Linked DNA regions of Lonchura striata. Each later gene encodes a partner of the first gene's protein in a complex. Links are inferred from orthologs where the notes say so. Each region holds a gene or a part of one and is shown on either strand. Other genes may lie near its edges. The genes, in order: GLE1 and NUP42.

The links.
Region 2: the proteins of GLE1 (region 1) and NUP42 are in contact, whole or in part, in a crystal structure (PDB 6B4I), measured with the Homo sapiens proteins. The link is inferred for Lonchura striata from reciprocal best matches to the Homo sapiens genes GLE1 and NUP42. Residues at the interface, in NP_001003722.1 of Homo sapiens: Ile385, Ile593, Leu598, Asn599, Trp602, Arg603, Ala606, Gln607, Leu609, Asn610, Gln636, Tyr637, Gln638, Val639, Gln640, Lys643, Met644, Ile646, Leu647, Glu650, Asp651, Tyr652; in NP_001357375.1 of Homo sapiens: Asp185, Asn186, Val187, Leu188, Phe189, Gln202, Phe203, Gln204, Ser205, Lys206, Lys207, Phe208, Leu210, Gly211, Lys212, Ile213, Pro214, Leu215, Lys216, Pro217, Pro218, Leu222, Leu223, Asn224, Val225.

What each region holds. Positions count from the first base shown.
Region 1 is NC_134624.1:449,814-461,125, reverse strand, and holds the start of GLE1 (mRNA export factor GLE1), read left to right. Parts: upstream 1-6,814; 5' UTR 6,815-6,868; coding exon 6,869-6,964; intron 6,965-7,234; coding exon 7,235-7,486; intron 7,487-8,025; coding exon 8,026-8,145; intron 8,146-8,308; coding exon 8,309-8,457; intron 8,458-8,778; coding exon 8,779-8,839; intron 8,840-9,117; coding exon 9,118-9,372; intron 9,373-10,095; coding exon 10,096-10,324; intron 10,325-10,448; coding exon 10,449-10,564; intron 10,565-10,753; coding exon 10,754-10,823; intron 10,824-11,148; coding exon 11,149-11,291; intron 11,292-11,312. Other genes in the region: ODF2 (outer dense fiber protein 2), read left to right, coding at 530-665, 1,254-1,364, 1,543-1,647, 2,201-2,359, 3,229-3,329, 3,864-4,026, 4,353-4,478, 5,180-5,353. UniProt on the Homo sapiens protein: Required for the export of mRNAs containing poly(A) tails from the nucleus into the cytoplasm. May be involved in the terminal step of the mRNA transport through the nuclear pore complex (NPC).
Region 2 is NC_134603.1:125,079,395-125,091,125, reverse strand, and holds the start of NUP42 (nucleoporin NUP42), read left to right. Parts: upstream 1-6,766; 5' UTR 6,767-6,806; coding exon 6,807-6,897; intron 6,898-8,120; coding exon 8,121-8,370; intron 8,371-9,040; coding exon 9,041-9,135; intron 9,136-9,484; coding exon 9,485-9,561; intron 9,562-11,437; coding exon 11,438-11,524; intron 11,525-11,731.

The DNA.
Region 1 (11,312 bases):
GAGTTTGAAGAGGTAGAGAGAGACACATGACTTCTGCTGCTGACTTGCCACAGCAAAAGCAGACTCTTTAAGCTTTGCTGACTCTTAAAACTTTCTTTTGCCATTTGTAATGCCTTGAATTAAGATTATTTTTATTTTGAGATCTTTTTGAATATGGAATGGAAGATATGAAAAGAGATAAGTTATATAGTTGATGTCAGTTTTCTTGTGAAGGTAAATAAATATGTTGGTATCACTGCAGTACAGGTGTTGCTGCGGGGAAAAGTAGGTATGAGTTGAGAGAGGCATATCTTTATCCTGTGCATCTTTGAGACAATTCATTTGAGCTCCAGTGGGACAACTCCAGTGAATTTGCAGAAGGTATAAAAAGATTGAAATAGTCAAACTGTGCTAACAGAGAGGTGTGCATACATGACTGGAGAAGGAAGATGAAAGGATAGGGAAAAGCCATGTTTCTGAAGCTAGTTTCCAAAGGTTAGGAGCCTTACTCTTCATGTCACTTAGGATTAATTTTCTTTCTGTGCGGCAGCCGTGTTGCAGACCAGGTGGAACAACTGGCAAAGATCCAGGAACAGACACGGGATGAAAACGATGCTTTGTCAGAGAAAGTACAGAAGATGAATGGAGAGAACAATATTTTAAAGAGAGACAATGAAAAACTAAAGGTCAGTGACTCTTAAGGGTTTGAAGATTAAATGCTAGTAGGAAAAGAAGGGGGAATTATAACAACTTGCTTGGCCACTGAGGACAGAGTCAAATTTCACCCATTGTTGCTATACAGTTTAAACCAGTTCATATAACATGACTGAGACAGAGCCAGTGTGCTGGGAGGAGACAGAGAAAGTGTACATACTGGGAGAACTGTGTTTCTTCCATGTTTTGGCAAGGAGTATCTCCAACTACTGTTTCATCTAGTTGGGATCTTAAATCTTGTCTTTACACCTTCATGCTACTGACCAGAGAACAAACAGCTGTTGCAGCTCCTACAAAGAGGATAGTAATCTCCAGAACAAAAAAAATGGCATATTTCTACTGTTGTCCTTTACCATGAGTGATCTTGTGGGTGACTTACATATTTTTTTCCATCCGAAACCTCTGTGCTCTGCTGATGCAAATTTGGCTGCCTATTGAAGTCTGAAAAGTTTTGGCAACTTGCATGGACAAAACTGTATTTTCTTAGTCTAGGCAACATTAGAGAGCTCACATGGCAGGTACTTCCAAGCACTCAATGGAGAGTGTTTTCTTTTTTTCAGGCTGCTCTGATTTCAACGGAGGACAAGCTGAACCAAGCACAGATGGAATTGCAACATCTTCAGAACTCTGTCAGGAGCTACGAAGGGTTGATTGAAAACTACATGGCACAGGTGGGTCTCAGAACCTTCAGCCCTTGCACAAAGATGTTTTCTCCTTCCACTGTGGCTTATTCTGTAATGCCTTAGCTATTGCCAACTGGGGCAGTTTCAATTACTTTAAGGCATTGCAAACATGTGTTGAAAACTATTTATAACAGATGAAGTCTGGGGTCTTTTTTTGAATGTCCAGGCACAGATGGCGCAAAAGGAAGCGGATGAGATGGCAGAAAGACTGGAGAAGTGTGAAAAAGAGAACCAGTCAATAAAGGATGACATGAACAAGGCGATTGAAGAGGTAACTATTCCTCTAAAGACATGTTATAGAAAAAGACATGTTATATTCATGGGTCTTAGCATTCTGAATCTAGTGAAAAACAGCTGTGAATAGGAAATAAAAGGCTTATCTTGATTCTGCCTTTTGCATCAGTTTTTTCTCAGAACTTGTTCAATAAGTTTTGCAGAAAGAACATTTAGCAGCTTCTTTGTGACTATATGGCATTCTTCAGATATGTAGAAATTATTTTGTGTGTCCTTTGCTGCAGAATTAATGGTTTTGAACAATAGATTAGGTAGGTTACACCATTAGCTGATGTGGAACAGCTGACCTCAGAAGCAGAGCATGTACTTCTAGTAAGATTGAAGCCCACAATCCAATATACTCATTCTTACACCATCCATAGGGAATTCCAGATCCTAAGTGAAAAATTTTAGGAGCAGGAAAAGACATTAGGCATTGAACTCCAGCACTATCCAAATATCCACACAAAGCTTCATTGAAGTTGAGAAATGTTTTAGTCTTGATCTTACAAACATTTGAAAGTGCCTCACTTTCTCTTCTTTGATTACAGACTCGTGCGACGTTCCAGCAGCAGCTTTCTGAACTGGAAAAGCTGCCTGAGATCCTGAAGTACACTGAGACACAGCTGGCAGAGTGCCATGAGCAGCTCATGTGTTATGAGAAGAAGAACACGGACCTGTGTGCCATGATTGCAGATCTCCGTCAGCTGGTAAGGGACTGGCAGAAAGTACCTGTACCAGTGCAAACCTCAACTGAGAAAGGAGAATGAATTTCTAATCACAGCAAGGTTCAAACTTCATCTCTGTTCTCATCTCTTTCTGAAAATATTAAACGTGCACTGCAAAATAAAGGTGTGTGCCATGTCTTTGTGCAAGAAGTTAGTGGCTTTGCTGGTAACATTCCTTAATATTTGAAAGGTTTCTCATCCCTTGGTGCAGAATCTTTCTGGGACTTGTTAGCAGCCATGGCAGCGCTTGCTAATGCCAGCCCTTGTTTCTGTTTCCTCATCCTCTTGTCAGCTTTCCCTCCTGTAGTTTTCTGGTGATGGTGCTGGCCCAGCCATTTTCTCACTCCCGTTTCAGGTTGCTTTCCCGGTTTCTGTTTTTGGGTCCCAGAAAGGCTGTGAAGGTATTGCAGGACAATTTCAGACAGGGATGACATCTACAGCTGTGCCTCACGACAGCACATGATCTCTGTCTGACCACTTTAGTCTGCTTGGTTTGGAATGATAAACCTCCCTGGTGTTTCAGGTTCTGATGCTGTTGTGGGCTGCTGGCATGTTTGTGGCTGCTGTTGTTGTGTACTTGGCTTGTAGCTGCTGCTCTACATGCAGGAATTTATGGGCCTGGCTTTTCTTTTGCAGTACAGATGACTTTTCCTACACCTTCCCAGACTGTAACTGGGAGCATCAGCAAAATAGATGTTTAGTTCTTTTCTATCCATGGTTCCCTTTCTGAAGCTCTCCAGAAGTTATGAATGGAACATATTTCCTTCTGAGACCTGCATATGTTTTTGGTGGCTGGACATGTGTGTGTGTAGTGACTACTCTGTGAAATAATTAATTCCTGTAATTTTTAGATTGACCTCCAGGGGGACAAAATGGAGATGACAAGAGAGAGATATCAGTCTGCCCAAGAGGAGAAAAAGCAACTCACCTTGAAGGTGGAGGAGCTAGAAAGGTTAGAAATACTGGGCTCTCTTGCCTTTTTAACCTTCCATTTTTATTGTTTTTACAGGGGATTGAAACAGCTTCAGTCTTGTTCCAGTTCCCCACATGCCTCCAGGATTCTGTGCATTTGCTTATCCCACAAGGTTCTCTAATCAATAGCTGTCCACTGATGATTATATGCTTTTGCAGCAGCACGTGTTATGAATGTTGTTAGACAGAATGATGGCTTAGACAGCAAAGAAACCAGCTCCTTGTCCAATCTAGCCTGGCAATTCTGAGGTTACTTGATATTACATTATTTTAACTTATGTTTATACATTTGTTTCAGTGACAGTGTCTCAGAAAATGCAGGTAGATGGATACTCTGTAGGTCCTTCAATATTTGAAATTCTGATTTGACAACTGGAGAACTATTTCCTGGGGCTCTCACCTTTCAAGCAGGAATAGGATCTATTACCAGAGGAGTCAGGACCTGACAAAAGGCAGAATGAAACACACTCCATTTAAAATGAATAGGTTTCCTTCCCTTATTGTCTTAAACTAGAAAACTAGAGTCCACGAGTGCCCAGAACATAGAATTCCTTCAGGTCATAGCAAAACGTGAGGAGTCAATCCACCAGTGTCAGCTGCGGCTGGAGGAGAAGAGCCGTGAGTGCAGCTCCCTGGCACGTCAGCTGGAGATGGCCATTGAGGATGCCAAAAGACAAGTGAGTAATTCCTCATGTTTTTGAATTCACCCAAAGCTACCCAGGCTGTGAAAGAGGAACAGTGAGAATCATGAAAATATCTTCTCAGCTTATGACCAAACCCATTAAAATCATCATGTTCAGTGAAATATAAGTAATGTGCTGGTTCTATTTGTCAGCACTGTTGAAGAACTGAACTCGGTTTGTAACAGAGAAAAGCACAACACTGAGCTGCTGCTTATATATGAGAATGTCAGTTAAATTTTAAGGGGCTTTTGTGGGCAATGGGTAGGGGAAAAAACATTCTTCCACAGACACCTCTTTAACAGAGTTGTTGTTCTGTGTAGGTGGAGCAAGCTCGAGAACGAGCAGTCTCCAGAGAGAAGGCAGCCCAGTCCAAGGTGCTGGATTTGGAGACACAGCTGAGCAGGAATAAAACAGAGCTGAACCAGTTGCATCGGAGCAAAGAGGATGTGAGTGGCTTGTGGAGGATACTCTTGCTGTCCTTGTGGTGCCTTGGCAACAGTTGGATTCCATAAATCATCCTGTGGATATGCTGCTGAGGTCATGCAGAGGTGTGCCTGAATGTGATGTGCTGTTGTGTGTGTCCATGTATGTGTGATGAAGGACATGTCTGCTGTCATCAATTCAGGATTGTGTGGTGATAGGCCAGTCAGAGTACAATGAATGAATGAACCTGGTGTAAAGTTATGTGTGTGTAAGAAAAGAATCAGACTTTCCTTGTGTTCAAAGTAGATTTGCACCAGGTATCATGGACAGATTTCAACTTCATTTCCCCTATCTCAGAGAGAGATGAAAGGATTTCTTTCCTGTCCTATTACCTTGCTTCTTTGCTTTAGTTTTACTTGGAATTGTGTTAGCTGATGGATCAGGTCAAGTTGCTTTTCAGAAAAGGGTGTGTTTCATTCCCGGTAACTACCGCTAATACATTTTAAAAGCCCAACTGATAAGCCACATTGTCTCCTGCTTTTATCAGCGGGTTGCTGAATGGAGTTGGGAACGAGCAGAAATTATAAATATCACAGCACCATCTATGGTAATGTCATCTCCTGCTGTGCTAATTCTGGCTCTCCTCGGCACTTTGGGGGAAGAGTTTAACAGGAGCAGGATGAATGTTGCTGCCTTTCAGCCTGTTTTGTGCTCCCCCGTGCAGGCAGAGCGCCGATACGAAAGCCGCCTCCAGGACCTGCGGGATCGGCTGGAGCAGTCGGAGAGCACCAACCGCAGCATGCAGAACTACGTCCAGTTCCTCAAGTCTTCCTACGACAACGTTTTTAGGGAAAGTGTTTTTCTGGGCTCCCCCAGCCACACTCGCTCTCTTCTCTGACAGCAATGCTTTCCTTGCACCTTTTTTAAGCACACAGAAGGAGCTTTGTTTAAAAAGCCATATTGGTTTAGAAAACTGGATGACATTTCAGAGTCACTGTTGGGAGATTTTTTTAATTGTAAAATGAGAAAATAAAATTATGTTGGCATCTGATCAAAATGTGGGGTATCAGCAATACTGGTTTGGTGCTGGGGGTTAGTGTTACACCATAAACTGAGCTCCAAAACCGTGTGGTTTTGCATATAATGGAAAAGATCCTTTTCCTCCTGTCAGGTCATGATGGTTTCAGCTTTTAAAACCTGCCAGAGGTTTGTTGAGTGTGTTAATTTTTGTAAGAACTCTCTTTGTGCTTCACTTCTCATTCAGTTTCTCTGTTGGAGAGATTACGTGGGGTTTTTAAAAAAAATTTTTATACTATTGGTGTGATGCTGAAAATAACTGAGGTGCCTAGGCTCTACACTCATGAGAGATAATCTCCTGCACAACCACAGTGTTTGTAACAATTTTATACCAGAAATTATGAGTTTGGTTTGGTTTTTTATATTTGATTCTTATATCCTCCCTGATCCTTACCTTTTCTTGTGAGTGTGATGCTGATGTTGCTTTACTCCTCTTACCCCGATTTTCTGATCCTGAGTATACCCACCCAGGATTAAGCCAAAACAATCTAAATTTTAAAGAAGTCATCATCACTTCATTTGAGATCTTGGTGCAAATGCCACGTGAGTTCTGGGGATGTGTGAAATCCTGACTTTGCCTTTAGCCAACTTAGGAGCTGGAGATATTCAACTTCTTCATCAAATTCCTCTACACCTTCTGGAAAATCAGATCTTTTGTATTTCAAGTCTTTAAAGTCCATATGCTCTCTAGTGTCCTACTGTTTCTACTAAATGGTTCTTAGGGGGACAAAAATAAACCTTGTTTTTATTTTTCTCTCTTTTTTATACTATTTATATGCTATGTGATGTGGTCACTGGCAATATTTGTCATGGAAGTTTTCTAAACTAAACAGTTTTCGAGAGATCTGTAATTGTTTGTGTTTAACACTTTAGAAATCCCAGAAGTGCTGGGAGTGAAACCAATAAAGGAATACATTTTAATTGGTTATGGTGGGGATTTCCTCTTTAGTAGATGCGTGTGAATTTGAAGAAGCAAACACATCCCGGGGCTGTTGGTGCAACTGAATTCCAACCTATTTCTGTGGCTCACGGCTGGAGCCTTCCCTCTGCTTCTGCGACAGGGGCTAAGCAGCACAAGGCGGCTCCGGGGAGCACGCACAGAATTAATGGGAAATGGGTGAAACCGCGGCCGTTTCCCGGCCCGCGAGCGCGCCGCTGCCGGGGGCGGGACTCGAACCCGCGGCGCCGGGCCGGGCCGCGCCTCTCCGGCAGGGGGCAGCCACCGCCCCTCCCGCCGGCGCGAGGCGAGCGCGGCCCGGAAGGGGCGGGGCGGGGCCGGGCCGGCCCTGAGGGAGCGCGGGGCCGGAGGGATTCCCTGGGCCGCTGCTGCAGCGCCATGGAGTCCTGGCAGCTCCGCTTCGACACCCTGGAGGCCCTGCGCCTCTCCAGCAAGGGCCGGCTGAGCTACTGCAGCCACTGGCAGGAGGATGAGGTGAGTGCGCTGGGAAACACCGAAAGCTCGTCTCGGTGACACTCAGGGCTTGAAACACCCCCAGACCGGGTCCAGGCTCGGCAGCGCGGGGTCAGGGAGCGGGGCTGGTCCAGGGGGGTTCGGATGTCCTGCGGAAGTAGGATAGTCCGGAAAAAGTGTTGGAAAGACAGCGGAAAAAATGGGTTAAATGGGATACTGAGCTGCGATGGTAAAGCAGCTACTAACTGTGCGGATGTGCTCGTGGTGTGTTAAAGTTTTATTGAAATTCAGGCTGTGCCGCACTCACGGAGAATGTTTTCTCTCAAGGCGGCCTTGGACGGATGCGTGGCTCCCGTGGAGCTCTCCCCGTACTGCGGCTGGGTGCTGGACAGCCTCAGTGGGCAGGCAGCGCAGGAAGCCTCACCCTCCTCCACGCCCGAACAATCCACTCCGCTCCCAAAACGGGCATCAGCCGAGAAAATCCCGCCTGGCAGCCACCGGAGCTCTTCACCACCCTCATCTACAGAGCCCAGTGAGACCAAGGTAGCTTTCTGCTTATAATTCACATGTTTATGGAACAGCTGTGATAAAAAACCCCAAAAAGTCCTAGCTTACTGTCATAAATTGTCAGTTTAAGGCTGGCTTGTGCTCTGTAAATTTATGGAGAAAACATCCTTAGTTTAAATTATTTTAGTATGAACAGCTGATGATAAAATCAGTATTAACAAGACTTTCGTAGAAAAAAATGTTTCACAGTAGACCCAAAGCAAGCTCCATTGTTCACCATAGCTGAGGAAAATAGTTGGAGCTCTGTTGTGTTATGGATTAGCAGCACAGGATTTGTCCATTTGGAGAGATAAGGTCACAGAGGAGGGTCAGGGCTGTTGTAAAAGTCCATGAGTAACCACACTGGGTTCTCTGTAGTTTTGAGAGATATACCTGTATTCTGACTCTGTTTTATGAGGCAGAAGGGTAGGAAGCTGGGCAAATAATAATTTAGGAGACTTGCTTTTTCTGTTTTCCTCCATGAGTTTCTGATCCCGTTCTAAGTTGCTAATTTTGCTTTTATGCTGACCATGCAGGAAAATGATCATCTTAGTCTCCTCAGTCAAGAAGTTGTTCCAGCAGTTCTGTCATCTAAAGTTGCAAAAGTTGAAGGCTGCATTCGGATGTATGAAGAGATGCACAGGCTGAAAGCAAAGGTAAGAAAAAATGATTGAGGGGCTGCCTGTGAATCCCAGGAGAGCTCCACAGTCAGAGGTAACAGTGCAAGGACAGCAAGTTATAAATGTTGGGCAGTTTAGTTTGTGTTTTCTTCTGTCCATATTGTTCAGTGACTACCTTTGGTGCCCCTGTGTGATGCAGGAGAGGCTGAGACAGCGGCAGGAGGAGCAGGAGCAGATGGTGAGGGCAGCCTATGCCCAGGCCAGCGAGCAGCTGAAGCGCTTTGATGAACTGAGGGAACTGAAGCGGCATCAGGAATTCCAAGAGTTGCAAGAAGTAATGGAGAAGAGGTGAGATTACCTCTGGTATCACTAGAATTTCATAGCATTTAATCAAAGTGCAGATTAATTTCTGTTCCTGACAATTCTATGCTGGTTACTTGTGGTTGGAAATTTCACCTGCTCTTTGTCTTACATTAACTGTCCTGTTACAATTTAGCTGTCCCAGTAGATATCTGGCTATTGTTGAGGTTTCAGTGGTTAGGAAAAGACAACATTTGTGATAGCTAAAGTTCCTTTAGCTTGTTTTAAGAATAACTTCCTGTGTGTTGGTTTGTGTTTTGTCTCCTGAATGTCTTGAATACCATTTTTCTGTCTTTATGTGTGTTGTAGCTCAAAGGAGGCTCAGGGGCAGCAAGAGAAGTTGAAGGAAGAACACCGACATAGAGCAAAGGTGTGAGACTCTTAAGAATTGTCTTTCATAAAAGACCATGACTACTGGGTGGGAACTGGAAAGACCAATTGATTTATTTGTATTTTCATGACACTCTGAAATAAGGATGGCTTTTCTGGTGCTGTCCTGGGCACTGCTGCAGTGTGGAAATGCAGCAAAGGCACTTTGTGTCCTAGGAACAGGAAGGCCCTGTAAAGCTGGAGCCATCAGACTGGGAAGGAACTGTACAACTAGAGTTATTGAGGTATTTTTTGACTCTTGTGTCTTTGTCTCCCCAGATATTGAACCTGAAATTGCGTGAGGCAGAGCAGCAGAGGCAGCGCCAGGAAGAGCTGGAACGTTTGCGCAAGGAAGAGGGCCAGGAGCGACTGCGTCGCCTTTATTCCATCCAGGAGGAGCTGCTGCAGCTGAACCAGCAGATTGATCCCAACTACAGGCACAAAGACTTGCCCAGAATTGATCTGTCTGCATACAGCAATCGTGGCAACCAGATCTGTGGACTGGTGTCAGGGCTCATCCGCACCACGAGCGAGGTACAGGCTCCGGATTTGTTAACTTGGGCCCTGTAGTTGTCTTCAAAGGCAGCTTGTCATGAAGCCCTCAAATAAGATAGCACAGCAATGATTTTAGATATTCATCCTATAAAGCATCCCATTTCAAAGGGGAATTTTTTCCCCTGGCACTTCAGCTGTTCTCATGAAAATGGCTTATCAAAATGCATGAGAACTTCTACACAGGAAAGATTCAAATTAAATTGCTGAAAACTCTTGGTGCTGTAAGGTTCCCTCTGTGACAGTGGACTGGTTAATGAATTGTTAAATACTGAACATCTTACGAATCTCCTCTCCTCATAAGCTTTTCTGCAGTAGCTGGCTTTCCTTGACATTTTTTCTTTCTAGGATGGGATACAAGTCTTGAAAGGTAAAGCACTAATAAGGCTAATCCTGTGTTCCAGTTTGTCACAGCTGGCTTTCCGCATAGGGAGCTGTCAAAGCTTTGCACTGGAGTTGTCTTGCACTTGTACAAGTGTACTCTTGATTTTTGTTGTCCCAGGATCTTAGGAGATTTAGTCATGGATTTGGATTATTTACAAATACTATAACCAATGTTATGTACAAATAAAGGAGATGGGGATAAAATACATAGTTAGCTTCCAGATTATCTGAAGTGCTTCAAAGGCTCCTTGCACTGGCAGCTGGCCCTCTGACACTGGAAGCAAAGGTTAAGGCTGTGTTACCTCTCATGTTTCTTGGCAGAAAGGGTTCCCAACTCAAGCAGATGTGGCCAGCACTGAACGAGCCCTGCAGGAGATGCGAGGGTTGATATCCAGCATGCAGCAGGAAATCACTGCAGCTCTAGAAGAAAAGAAGAGGAAAGACGAAGAGGAAAAGAAACAAAAGCAGAAAGAGTTAGAGAAAAAAGAGCAGATGAACAGTCAGACTCCTGCCCCTGCACAGCAGTCAGGGGAAAAGCAGCAGAAGGAAGGTTGGTTAGGCTTTCTTAAAAAACTTTTTTATTCCTTTGACTTACAATTTTTTTAAAATGAGTTTTCTCACTAGAGGTTTAGGTCTTTCTTATCTTTTTTTTTTTTTTTTTTTTTTAATTGCAGGACTTAAGGTTAAAACAGAAGAAAGTATCATGCAGTGGTACCAGCAGCTTCAGGATGCTGCTGAGCAATGTGTTGCTGCTTTCAGTGAAATTGGAAACTGCAAAAGCAACACTGAGGTATGAACAAATTATTAATACTGTTGAAGAGAAATTATCTTAATTTCTAGGGTAAACAGGATACTTTACATTTAAAATAAAAAAAACAAACTCTATTGTAGAAGCCGCTGTTACCACTCTTCTCATCCAAACTTTTATAGATATATACCTGTTAGGAAAAGATTTTAAAGTTGTTTGTTTGTTCTCCAGGTGAAGAAGATAAAAACCAACTTGCAGAAAGCAGCAACAATCCCTGTGAGCCAGATCTCTAGTATATCAGGTCAGGAAAACACCAAGAGCTCAATCCCACTGAAATTCCTTTTGCTTTAAAGTTTTTATGAGGGCACAAGCATATAAAGTGTTCCTGTAGCAGAAAGCTGATCTGCATACAGCCTATCTGTGCATGCGGGTTTGCTTTTGTTTTGAAGGCCTGTTTCTTCACTCAAAAGCGTATTTCTTCATCAGGATTAAGTTTGGTTAAATAGATGGAGCAAAGGTGCCCTTTGGGTTGTGGGTCTGGTGTTGGTGAGCTTGATGGGGTCTGGGTAAGCCTTGTCTGCTGTTCCCTTATCTTCTGTCTCCATACATTCCTTATGTATTTGCAGGCTCTAAGCTGAGAGAGGTGTTTGACAAGATCAATAACCTGCTGTCTGGGAAGCCTGTTCAGACTGAAGGGCAAACGGTGTCCGTGACTCAGCATCCACAGGGGCTGGAGTTTGTTTGCTACAAACTTGCAGAGAAGTTTGTGGTGAGGAAATCTCTTGTTTTG
Region 2 (11,731 bases), on another chromosome or scaffold:
CATCCCCGCTCCGGCAGCCCCGGGAGGAGCATCCCCGCTCCGGCAGCCCCGGCCCCCCGTGCCCGAGCGGCGGGCGGGGCGCGGGGGCTGCGGGCGGCTCCGGACCTGCCCCGCTGCCCGCCCCGGCCGGAGCTCCGGAGCGGAGCGGGCCGGCCGGGTCTCGGCTGGGGCTGTCCGCGGCAGCCTCTGGTTCTGCACTGCAGGGTTGTGCTCTGCCTGAAGGGCTACGGGATGGGCCATGGGGCCGTGGGACACCAGTCCGGGCACCTGAGCTGCCCGGAGCAGCGTGCAGCAGCCGCGCGTTGTTTCCATTCTCACCGGCTTCAGCAGCTCTGGAAGGCGAGGGATTAAACGGAGAGCCGAAGGCTGCGGTTGCCTGTCTATTCCTGCTCAAAGAGCCGGCGTTTCCCAATTCATCTGGGGAATTTGCACCTCTGGAGTTCTTTAATGAATCCTTCGTGTCTCCGAGTGTAGCTGTTTCAGGACAAGACAATGTACCAAGGCCCATGGCTTTTTAACTATGGAGGGTGGTTAGAAGTATTAATCGGTTTTCTTGGAAGTTTTTGATTTTTCCTGTCCTTGCAGGCTTTTCAGATGTCTTCTTTCAGAAGAACTGAATCTGGAGTACTATGACAGCAAAGAGTAAAACTAGAAAATGTGTAAGCAGTTTAAAAATGATGACTCATGGGGACAATCTTTGGGATAAGACTTGTTACCAATCTTCAGGTGGCAACTCTTGACTTATCTCCCAACTCCAGGAGATTATCAGAATGCCAAAATATTTTTCAATTCCTGTGCACCAAAGAGAATGCCAAAATAGCAGCAGGTCCACATGGTCTACGCTACCATCATCTTTTTGCCTGAGGTCTCTCTCAGAATATCAGATCTGATATTGCTCTTCATGTAAAGACATAAAAATTTGATATAAGGGCAACAGTAAGAGTATTTAAAGGAATCTTGTATTAATATCAAGAAATTAATCTTTTCACCTCGAAATAGAAGGAAAGCAAAATTCCTCTGTTGGATTTGTGAAGTTTCTTCTCTAATTCTAAATATTTTTCTTTGGTTCAGTTGACAGACAAATTTTATTTTTTGTTTTAATTTTTTTTAAGTCTTCCCCAATAATAAAAATATGCATTTTTCTTCTCTCTCTTTTCAGATAGATGCTGTTGAACTGTAACCACAACAGTGGGAAAACTGGCTGATTCAGTGGAAAGCTTTAAATGCATCAACAAAAGCATCTTTGGTAAGTGTTCACAAATGGCAACATGTCTCTGTGCCTGATGTTACTTTTTAATGGAGTAATTTACATAGATATTAATTATGGTTACAAAGACTTCTGAGATTTGGCAATTGTGATGTGCCACCTGGGCATATTCTATGGACTCCTGAAATCAGTTAATTCCAGATGCTATTACAAACCCCTTCAGTTAACTGAGGATAAACATGCATAGGGATGGTTCCATGTTAGCAAGGCAGCAGCTGGATCCCAGCTTTGGAATACTCTCATTGCAAGCCACGTGAAAACAACCAGAGCTGAAGTTTGGGATCTGGTTGTGTACATGACTAGGAAGAGGCCCATCCCCACCACACCATTTTTCCCATGTGCTGATGTTGACTCTACCAAGAGAGGATCAGCAGACTGGACCAGAATTCTCCTCCAGGACACCTTAGGATAAATGGAGCATGTGGACAATTGAGAGGTGGATGGGAGAGAATCCCTTTGGATAACATTTGAGGATAGAAAGAGTCATTGGTCCTGGGAAGGTGACAAACACTTGTGAATGGAGATAGTTTTTCAGAAGCAAATGCTTGAATTTCAAGCCCATATGAAAAATTGAGGGAGGCAGAGGAAACGTCTCTCTTTGAGTGCAGTCTGCATGAAGTGCAGGGAAGGTTGAGTAATGTGATCCCAGCCCTTGGTGTGTTCAGAGCCAGAGGTGGACAAGCAGGATTTGGGCTTTACCACAGGAGACAGTAACAGACAAAGATGTGCTGAGGACAGGAGCAGAGTGAGTCAAAGCTGTGCCCTAAATACAGTCACAGAGCACAGGCTAGAACTGAGGTAAGAGGTGAGAATGAGAGCTCCCAGAGGGGATCAGGTCATTGACTGACAGGCAAAAATTGATCAGTTGTAACAGATTTGCATTTCTGGAGGGTTTTACGGAGAAGGGCAGGTATGGCCTTAGAGCACTTAAAGCACTGCAAAAACAGGCAGTTGTGAGGAATGATCACTGTCCAGCATGGTCTGAGTTGGATTCAGTGGGACTGGGCAGTTCTGACTTAGTTTCAAAGAGTTACTGAGAGAGAGTTCCCTGTTTTGGAATCTAGTTTTCATGTATGTCTCTGGAATTTTTTCAGCTCTCTGCTTTCAAGACCATGGGCACTCAAGCAGCACCTGCCTTTGGAATGGAGGGACATCCAACCTCAGGCTTTGGGCTGTCAAATAAGTTCTCGTTCTAAGAGCCAAACCATTTACACGTTTTCTGTAGTTTGCTGCTGCATCCTTGAAATGCAGCATTTGTTTAGAATCCTTGGGCTAACAATTCTAATATTTTTTGTAAATTCTCTACTCGCAGGCTTTCCTGTGAGCAGCAGCAGCACCAGTGCCAGCAGTTTCTCCTTTAAAACCAGTTCCAGCCTCATCAGTTCAGCATCATCTGGGAGCAGCCCTACTGCTGATGGGAGGTCTGCTGCTGCTGCAAATCCTCCTGCATTTGGGACAACATCCTCTCCTAGTGCACCCCAATCCGTTGGCTTTGGCAGCTCGGCTGCTCCCTCCACAGTCTCCTTCTCCTTTAAAGCAGCTGCCACGGCTGGTGGCTTTGGGACTTCTGGCTTTTCAGGCTTTGGCAGTGCTCCTGCTGGGAACTCTGCAAGCACCACTCCAGCAGCCTTTGGGGCCTTTGGTGCCACCGTCCCCACTTCTGCGTCACCTTCGAGCGGTGCTTTATTTGGCCAGAGCACCGGTGCCTCCGGACATCCTGTCACCTCAGCGTCTGCTGCAGCCACCACCTCCAGCCCTGCCTCAGAGAAGTTATTCACACCCAAGAGCGAGCTGTCAGCTGAAGAGTGGCAACAGTTTGAAGCAAAGGAGTTCACAATTGGAAAGATTCCTCTTAAGCCGCCACCATTAGAACTTTTAAATGCTTTCAACCTTTTAAGTTTATTCTGAAATGTTAATTTTTATTACCTCTCTCAATTCTCTTTGCAGAAATAAATGTACAAGTCTAAACTTTTGAACATTATTTTGGGATGGACTTCTTACATCTGAAAGATGAACTGTTGAAACTAAAATGGAACATTTCATTCTATATGCTGTCCTGTGAAATTCTGTACAAAGACTCTATGAAAAATATGGTGTCAAAAGAAAGAATGTTTCAGTCAGGTATTTAGAACCTACTCTTGTATCAATGAATTGTCTCAAAATGTACGCTCTGTGGGTGTAGGATTGGCCATGAAAGCTTTTTTCCCCATTGCCCCAACAACTGGTATTGTAAATTTATTGGTGAGCCCTTACTGATAGTTGTTACTGAATGTGTGCCTTTGCTGTCTATAAAAAATCTGTTGTTTTATTCCCCAGCTTTACTGAAACTAGCTGATATGTGAGGGATGCCTCCCTAATTTTCTCCAGTCTCCTTCAGTCATTATCACAATCCTCCAATATCTGAATGATTTCATCTTTAAGTTGACCCTTCCTGTCCAGAAATGGCACATGGATTCAGGTCAAAAGGAGGGGCCATTTCAGACCCCACAACTCCTTCCTATCCTTTTGCCCTTTCTAATGCCATTCTCTTTTAATTCACATTAAAAAGGGGTTCAATATAGTCTGCATATCCCACCAACTGGGGTTATGAGTCAGCATGATAGTTTCCAAAAGCTGATTCCTTCAGGATTCTCTCATTATGAACCAACAGATAATTTCCAATTCAAAAAATCAAAAGTAGTACAAGGAACTTGTCCAGAAAAAAATGGCTGATGCTCTGCCCCCACTGCTTCTCTGTGCTCTATATTTTGAGTTGTATCCTCTTTGTCCATCTCCACTCTGCTCTTATATGGGTGTGGAAAGAAGGGAACTAACATTTGCTCATAAAACCTCATCCCCTTTTTCAACATCCACTGTAAAATAATATTAGACTGCAATGACACATTTACCCTATACTCCAATTTAAAAGTGGCCACCAGTGATGACAGTATCTCTTCTTTATTTTTAGTCACTGGATCTCCTCTAAACACATTCCCGTTTTTGGGGATGCATCCCAGACAGCTGTGAGGAGGAATTGTGGATTGGCAGGCTCTTGTCATTAAATTTAATGGACTTCAAGTTAGGCAATTCTTTTACCCTTAGGTCCAGACCTTCAGTAGTTACATGACTCCAGTCCACCTGATTGGTTACACTGATAAACATACACCATTTGAAAGAGGAACACTAGTGCACCTACCAATCCAAGAATCCTATTCCCCTTTTTGGACTTACTTGAGTCTCTCTGCGGCATTGCACCTTTTTGTTGCTCACCACCTTGATCCCGGAGAGGATTTGATGGAGTCAGTACATGCTGCAGACTTGTCGCATCCAATTCTCTGTTGCCAGTGGAAGCAAGATGGCCAGTCAAGGCTTTTGGCCATGCTGCCTGCATACCTAGAACTCTCAAATATGGATTCTACTGGGTGCAAGAAGCAGATTTGCACACAGAGTAGAGTTTTAGAATATCCTGACTAGGAATGGACCCACATGGATCATTGAAGTCCAACTCCTGGCCTTGCACAAGACCATCCCCAAGAGGCACACCATGTGCCTGAACTCTGTCAGGTTGGTGCTGTGATGATTTCCCTGAGGTGCTTTCTCCAGCACCCAGCCTCTGGATGCAGAATCTTTTTCTAATACCCAACCTAAACCTCCTCTTACACATCTTTAGGCCATTCCCTCAGGTCCTGTCACTGGTCAATGATGAGAAGAAATCAGTGCTTTTCCATCTATTCCTGAGGAGTTGTAGATTGCAACTCAGTCTCATCTTCTCTAGACTGAACAGACTAAGTGCCCTCATCTGCTCCTAATACAGCTTCCCCTCAAGGCTCTTCTTGATCTTCGTTGCCCTCGTTTGGATGCTCTCTACCAGCTTTATATCCTTCTTATACTGAGGTGCTCAAAACTGCCCCCAGGACTTGAGATGAAGCCACCCCAGTACAGAGCCAAGCAGGACAATCCCTCCCTTGCCTGGCTGGTGATGCTGTGCCTTGTGCACAGAGATCTTTGTTACGTGGCTGTTCATGTGGGTAGAGAATCCCTAAATGTAGCACCACCTCTGTGTGCCAGCCAGCCATTTTTATACACTTTAAACAGCAACAGCTCAACATCTCCAAGCTATACTGTACCTACAGTGAGAGGACTAGAGAAAATGGCCTTAACCTGAGACAGGGGTGATTCAGATTACATATTGGAAGAAACTTTTTCACTGTTAGGGTGGTCAGGCATGGGAATAGGTTTCCCAGGGAGGTGGTGGAATCACTGTTACAATATGTGGTACAATTTTCCTAAGAAAGGATGTTGTTTAATGCTTGATCTTTATCTATTTTCAAGCCTAATGAACAAGAAGGGAGATTTAATCCCTGAAATAGATAGCAGCTGGCATGCTGTAAATGATGCTCATATGGTAGAAAAACAAACTACTTGTAGACAGAATTGCCTTGTTAGGGTTCAGGGCTGGACATACTTCACTGATCTCAGACCTGGGTGAGGTTAACAAAGCTTGGGAAGAAGGATGTATCACTGATTGTGGACACCAAGAATGCAGAATTTACATGCCACAAGAATATTTGTCAGAATCCCCAAGATAAGGAAGAAAATAATAAAAACAACTCAGCAACTGTGCCTGATCTCAGACCTGGGTGAGGTTAACAAAGCTTGGGAAGAAGGATGTATCGCTGATTGTGGACACCAATAATACAGAATTTCCACGCCACAAGAATATTTTTCAGAATCCCCAAGATAAGGAAGAAAATAATAAAAACAACTCAGCAACTGTGCTGACACCAGATCTGACTGGGTAAAAGATAATTCCAGCAGGGGGATCTGCAACCACCAGCTCATGGACCACCAACCCAAGAAACCCATGGGCCCACAAGGAGAGAGACTGAGAATGTGGACTAATTGGCATGAGAACTGAGAGAATAATTAACTAATAGAAGCTAGAATATGAATTAGTAAGAGAGCTATGTAACTTGTAGGCAAGGAATGCTAATTCCTTTGTTTGCTAAAATGTATAAATAGCAAAAGGTTTTGATAGCCGGTGTGCTTGATTTGTGGAATGCCATCTAGCACTGGGCTTGTGCAACTGAAATAGAGAGTCTTTCAAATGTGTAATTATTGGTATATCATTGGGTAATGAATGCAATTTTTGCAAACATCACCATCCCTGGGGGTATTAAGAGGCACCTGGATCTGCTGGGTGATGTGGTTTAGTGGATTACAGTGACAGGGATAGGTTGGACTGGATGATTCTAAAGGTCTCTTCCGCCCCTGATGATTCTGTAGGCACGGGCTATACATCCCTTAGTCTCCCCGTAAGGACACAGCACAGGAACGCTTTACCGCGCGGGCTGCGGGGAGAAGAGCCTCTGTGCGAGAGGGGCGGCTGTTTTACAGCGTCCGTGGCTGCCGCTTTGCGCAGCACGACCCAAACCCGAGCTTGGCTTTACCGGCGCCCGTTGCTGCGCCACCCCCGGGCGCCCGTGCCGGGCTATCCCCGCCTCCCTGCGGGCCGGCCCCGCCCGCGCACGGCCGCGCGTCAGAGGAGCGCCGGGCGGCCATGGGCGTCTGCCAGTTCTTCCTGCGGGGCTGCTGCCGCTTCGGGGAGCGCTGCTGGAACCAGCACCCCCGCGGGCCGCCCCCCGCGCACGGTACCGCCGCGCCGGCCGGCAGGGCGGCCCGGCCCTGGGCCGCCGCCGGAGCGCAGCGCGCCGGGCGCGCTCGGCCGCGCTGTCTGACCGGGCCGCTGCGGGCTGGGGGTGTTTAGGCTGAGGAAAAGGAGGCTTGGGGGCGGCTTATCGCTCTCTGCAAGTGTCTGAACGGGGGCTGTAGCCGGGGGGAGGGAGGTCGGGCTCTTCTGCCAGGCAACCAGGCCTTAAGCTGCACCACGGGAGGTTCGGGTTGGGCGTTCACACAAAGAGACACGAAATATTGGAATGGACTGCCCAGGGAGGTGGTGGAGTTGCTGTTCCTGGAGGTGGTTAAGGAAAGACTGCATGCCGTGGTCTAGTTGACAAGGTGCTGTTTGGTCATAGGTTGAACTCGATGGTCTCAGAGCTCTTTTCCAACTTAACTGATCTTGTGATTCTGTGACCGCGGGATGTGCCGCAAGGCAGTGGGAAAACAGCTTGGAAAACTCTGTTCTTATGAGCAGTGAGCAAGTTTCCAGCAGCTGTATGTTCACCCAGTGACGGCTGTTTCCATTCTCGTCTGCTCTGGGTGTGTGGGGGCTTTGGGAAGGAAAGGGGCATGCATGACAGAGAGCTGGGGGCTGCAGTGATGGCACGGCACGAACTCACTGCAGCCACTTGTCCTTATTCCTGCTGGAAGGAGGGTCGGGGTTTGCCTGTAACAACACGCACAGGTGTGTCCGGGGTCTCAAAATGAAACTCGGGAGCTCCCTGTGCTGGAGCAGAGCCCCTGTTGTAGCTATGGAGACAGGAGCCCCTAACATAAACTTATGGTGTGTTCAATTTAATTTTTTTCTGCTGGGGTAGCTACTTCATCAAACAACCTAAGCAAAACTGAGTCAGTGTCTTTCTGCAGTGCCACAAGTTGTTGGCACGATGAGGTAGCTGAAGGCATCTCTGCTCATTAAGGCACAGGGGAGATTGAACTAGATGACTTTTAATGGTGCCTTCCAACCCAAACTGTTCCATTTGAGAAGTAGGACTTGAGAACTACCCTGGGCAACTCAGTAGTTAAGCTGACTTAATAATGAGTTTTTATTAGGAAAAAACTACACTTTAATTTCAAACTTTTTATTGTCACTGTAAGACTAGTTATACTTCCAGTTTTTGTTGATGTTGATTCATATCTTAATGATTAAAATGTTAAAATGTTTGCTTTTTTGTTTGTTTGTTTTAATTGGAAGTTTCTAGTGGAAGAGGAGGAGGATGGGGTACCTCTAACCAGAGATACAGTAATGTTATCCAGCCATCTTCGTTCAAGTCGGATACGTGGGGTGGCAGCAGAGATCATGGAAGAGGATTCTTTGGTTCCTCTGACTTTGGATCGTCAGGCGGCAGCAGCAGAAACGCAGACTTTTCACAGAACAGGTTCTCTGCCTTAGCCAACAGTCAAAGTGTTGCTGATGGCTCTAAAGATGAAGAGGAGAGACTTATGTAAGTTACAGTCCTCTCTTACTGGAAGCATTTAGAATGAGCAGATTGAAAGCTTACTGACTATCTAGAGATAATGCAGGGGACAGGATTGTGAGGAGAAAGCTGGGACACGGGAAGAAGCAGAGAAGACTTGGTTCTCTGGAATGATGCTGGCATGGGGAGGAAGTGATCTTTGTTTGGGACCTGGGTTGGGCAGATAGGCAACTGTGATATTAGTAAGATGGTATTAAAGTTGTGATCAGGAGGATAAGGAAGGAAACAGATTTCAGTGCTTAATAATAAGAAATCCCTTAATAATAAGAGCCCTTTAAGAAATTGAATTATTTTACTTGTTGTTTTGTCACTTAAGACAACGAATCTTTCTGCCAACAGCAAAACTATTGGTTTCACAGAGGTGTATGTTACAGTCAGTTACAAGTGGCCAGAACCTGCAGGGCAGATACTGAAAAGCTGCAGTGTGATTTCCTAAAGAAGCAAGGTTTTAGAAATATTATCTATTACTCTTTTTAAGATTACATTAAGAAAACACTTGGTTTTCATGATAGCAGGTTTTTGACTCTGAATTTAAATTCAAACCAATTGTTTGAATTGGTTGTTACTGGCATTTTTGATTTGACCATGCAATTTCATGTGATTTTTCACAATTTCATCTGTGATTTTGTTTTGTTAGTGAATGTGTAGTGAAAGACATGGAAATATGGGAATCTTCTGGACAATGGATATTTTCATGTTACTCACCAATGAAAGAAAAACCAAATGTCTCAGGTAGGTAATGTTTTCAGTGCTGTGTATTGCTGCTGTTTAGGATGTTTCTGTGACTTGCCATATTGTTGTACCTCTGAGCAACCATTTACAAGGTGATGATTTGCCTTGTGATACAACAGAAAGTAATACTAGTTGATGGCAGATTCAGCTTGGACATTCACACCTCTGTTACTCTGTAATGAATCTTCTTTTTGTCTGTAACTCTCTTTTTTTAACTTTTTAAACTTTTTTTAACTGTAACTGTCTTAAGAGAGACCATGTATCGAGGTCCATGTCTTCATAAGAGTTGAGGGCAGCTGGAGGAATCAATCTGTTTTCTTGGAGGTTTTTGACTATTCCTGTCTGGCAGGCTTTTCAGATGTCTCACCAGAAGAGCTGCGTCTGGAGTATTATGACAGCAGAGCAAACAATATAATTGGGAATTATGTAAGTATTTTAAAAATGTTGGCTGGTGTGGACACTCTTGGGGCAAGACTTGTTACTGTTCTTCAGGTGGCAACTCTTGATTGATTTACCTCCCAACTCTAGAAAATTATCAGAATGCCAAAATATTTTTCAATTCCTGTGCATCAAAGTGAATGCAAAAATAGCTGCTAGACATTCCTTGACTTAATCTTGTCCCTGCTCCTGTGTGTTATTTGTAGAAGTTACTTGAGTCCTGTCTCAGAAGTTTAATACCTTATACACTATTAGTCAGTTTGATTGTTATAGGTGGTTATTTGGTGCTTTAAATAGAAATTGGCCTTGTTCTTTTACATACCTTTGTTGTAGGGAATTAATGATGAAAATAGCAAATACTACTTTTCTAGAGACAGATATGTATATACTCATTTGGAAGTAAGACATATGTTTTTATATAAAACATCTCTCAGTGTGTATATATATCATTCCTTCCTTGAAGTCCTGTCAATACCAAGAAGCTAACAGAGTTTAGTGTTGTGCCAGGAAAGAAATTAGGCTGTTGGATAGATGCAAGTACAAATTAATTCAAACTACATTGCACTCTTTCCTCTTCTTGGTTCTGTGTTACAGAAGGAATTGCTCTTGTCACCACTCTTGCTTCATATGTTCAGATTTACCAGAATTGCATTTTTAGAGATGGGAGACACATAATATTTTTTTAAACTTCAATTAAAATAATAAACCAAAATAATAATAAATAATACACAATATGCTCTACATGGCTATTTAAATAAATAAATAAGTTGTGATCTTATCAAAGCATGAAATGCAAGCTTTCCTAACTCTCACTGTTGGTAACTGTATGATACAGTACATGATGGTAACTGTATGATACAGTTCTCTTACGAGATGTTTAAGTACAGCTTGTCTTTTCCATGTTTCTATTCTTAAACCGGGTCAAAATCTGAATTTTCCAGTTTGTTGGATAGGAGCAGATACCAAGCAACATGATCTTCCAGCATGTGATTAGACACAAAAGAATTATTGATGTTTGTGATGCAAGATTCTTTTGAAAAATTAAGGAATTTGTCTACAAAAAGATTAATCATTCAATTTTTGCAGGCATTTGTGACACTTGGTGTTTTACTTGTTTAAGTTTTAGGGAAAATTCAATTAGGCCAGACATCAAATGTGTTGCTTAACTTAAGTATAAATGTAGGAAATTCAGGTTTGAAATTCCTGAAAGGTTGTTTGAAGACTTTTTTAGGATTTTGCTTAATACAAAATCACAGTTATCAAGACACAGATACTATTCATTGCTGCACTGTTCTGTGCAGTTATAAATTAATCACATTTAAGAGGGTTGATTTAAATTAAGGAAGTTAATTACATCAATAGTAACTATTTTAGGATAATACAATTGAATTGTTATGAATTACAGTGTTTTGAAAGTGGGTATTTTTTCTGAAAATGTGGAAGAAGCTAAGGTAAATCTTAGGACTTCAGCTTAGTGAGTGAGTGCATAAGTGGAAAGGCCAGATTGAAGAGTCTGTTCTCATACATTTAAAACTTATATATCTTGTTTTGTGTAATTTTTTCCTCAAGCATCTAATTCAGAAAAAAATAGAATTTGGATTTTAAAAGACCCAGAAGTTGTTTGAATGTTACTCTGAGGTAAAGGGGTTGATTTAAGGACAATAGTCAGAGAGTTTAAAGGAATTTTCTGTTAAAAACAAAGACATCAGTGCCTCACGTTGAAGTTTCAGGAAAGAAAATATCTTATTGGGTTGATGAAATTTCTTTTCTAATTCAAAATATTTTTTTCAATTCAGTTGCCAGATGACATATTTGTATTTAATTCTTCAGTAATAAAAACATGGGTTTTTTTACCCCTTTTCAGATAGATGCTGTCCAAAAGTTAGCATTACAATGGAAAAATCGGCTACTTCAGTTGAAAGCTTTAAATGCATCAACAAAAGCATCTTTGGTAAGTGTTCACAAATGGCAACATGTCTCTGTGCCTGATGTTACTTTTTAATGGAGTAATTTACATAGATATTAATTATGGTTACAAAGACTTCTGAGATGTGGCAATTTTGATGTGCCACCTGGGCATATTCTATGGACTCCTGAAATCAGTTAATTCCAGGTGCTATTACAAACCCCTTCAGTTAACTGAGGATAAACATGCATA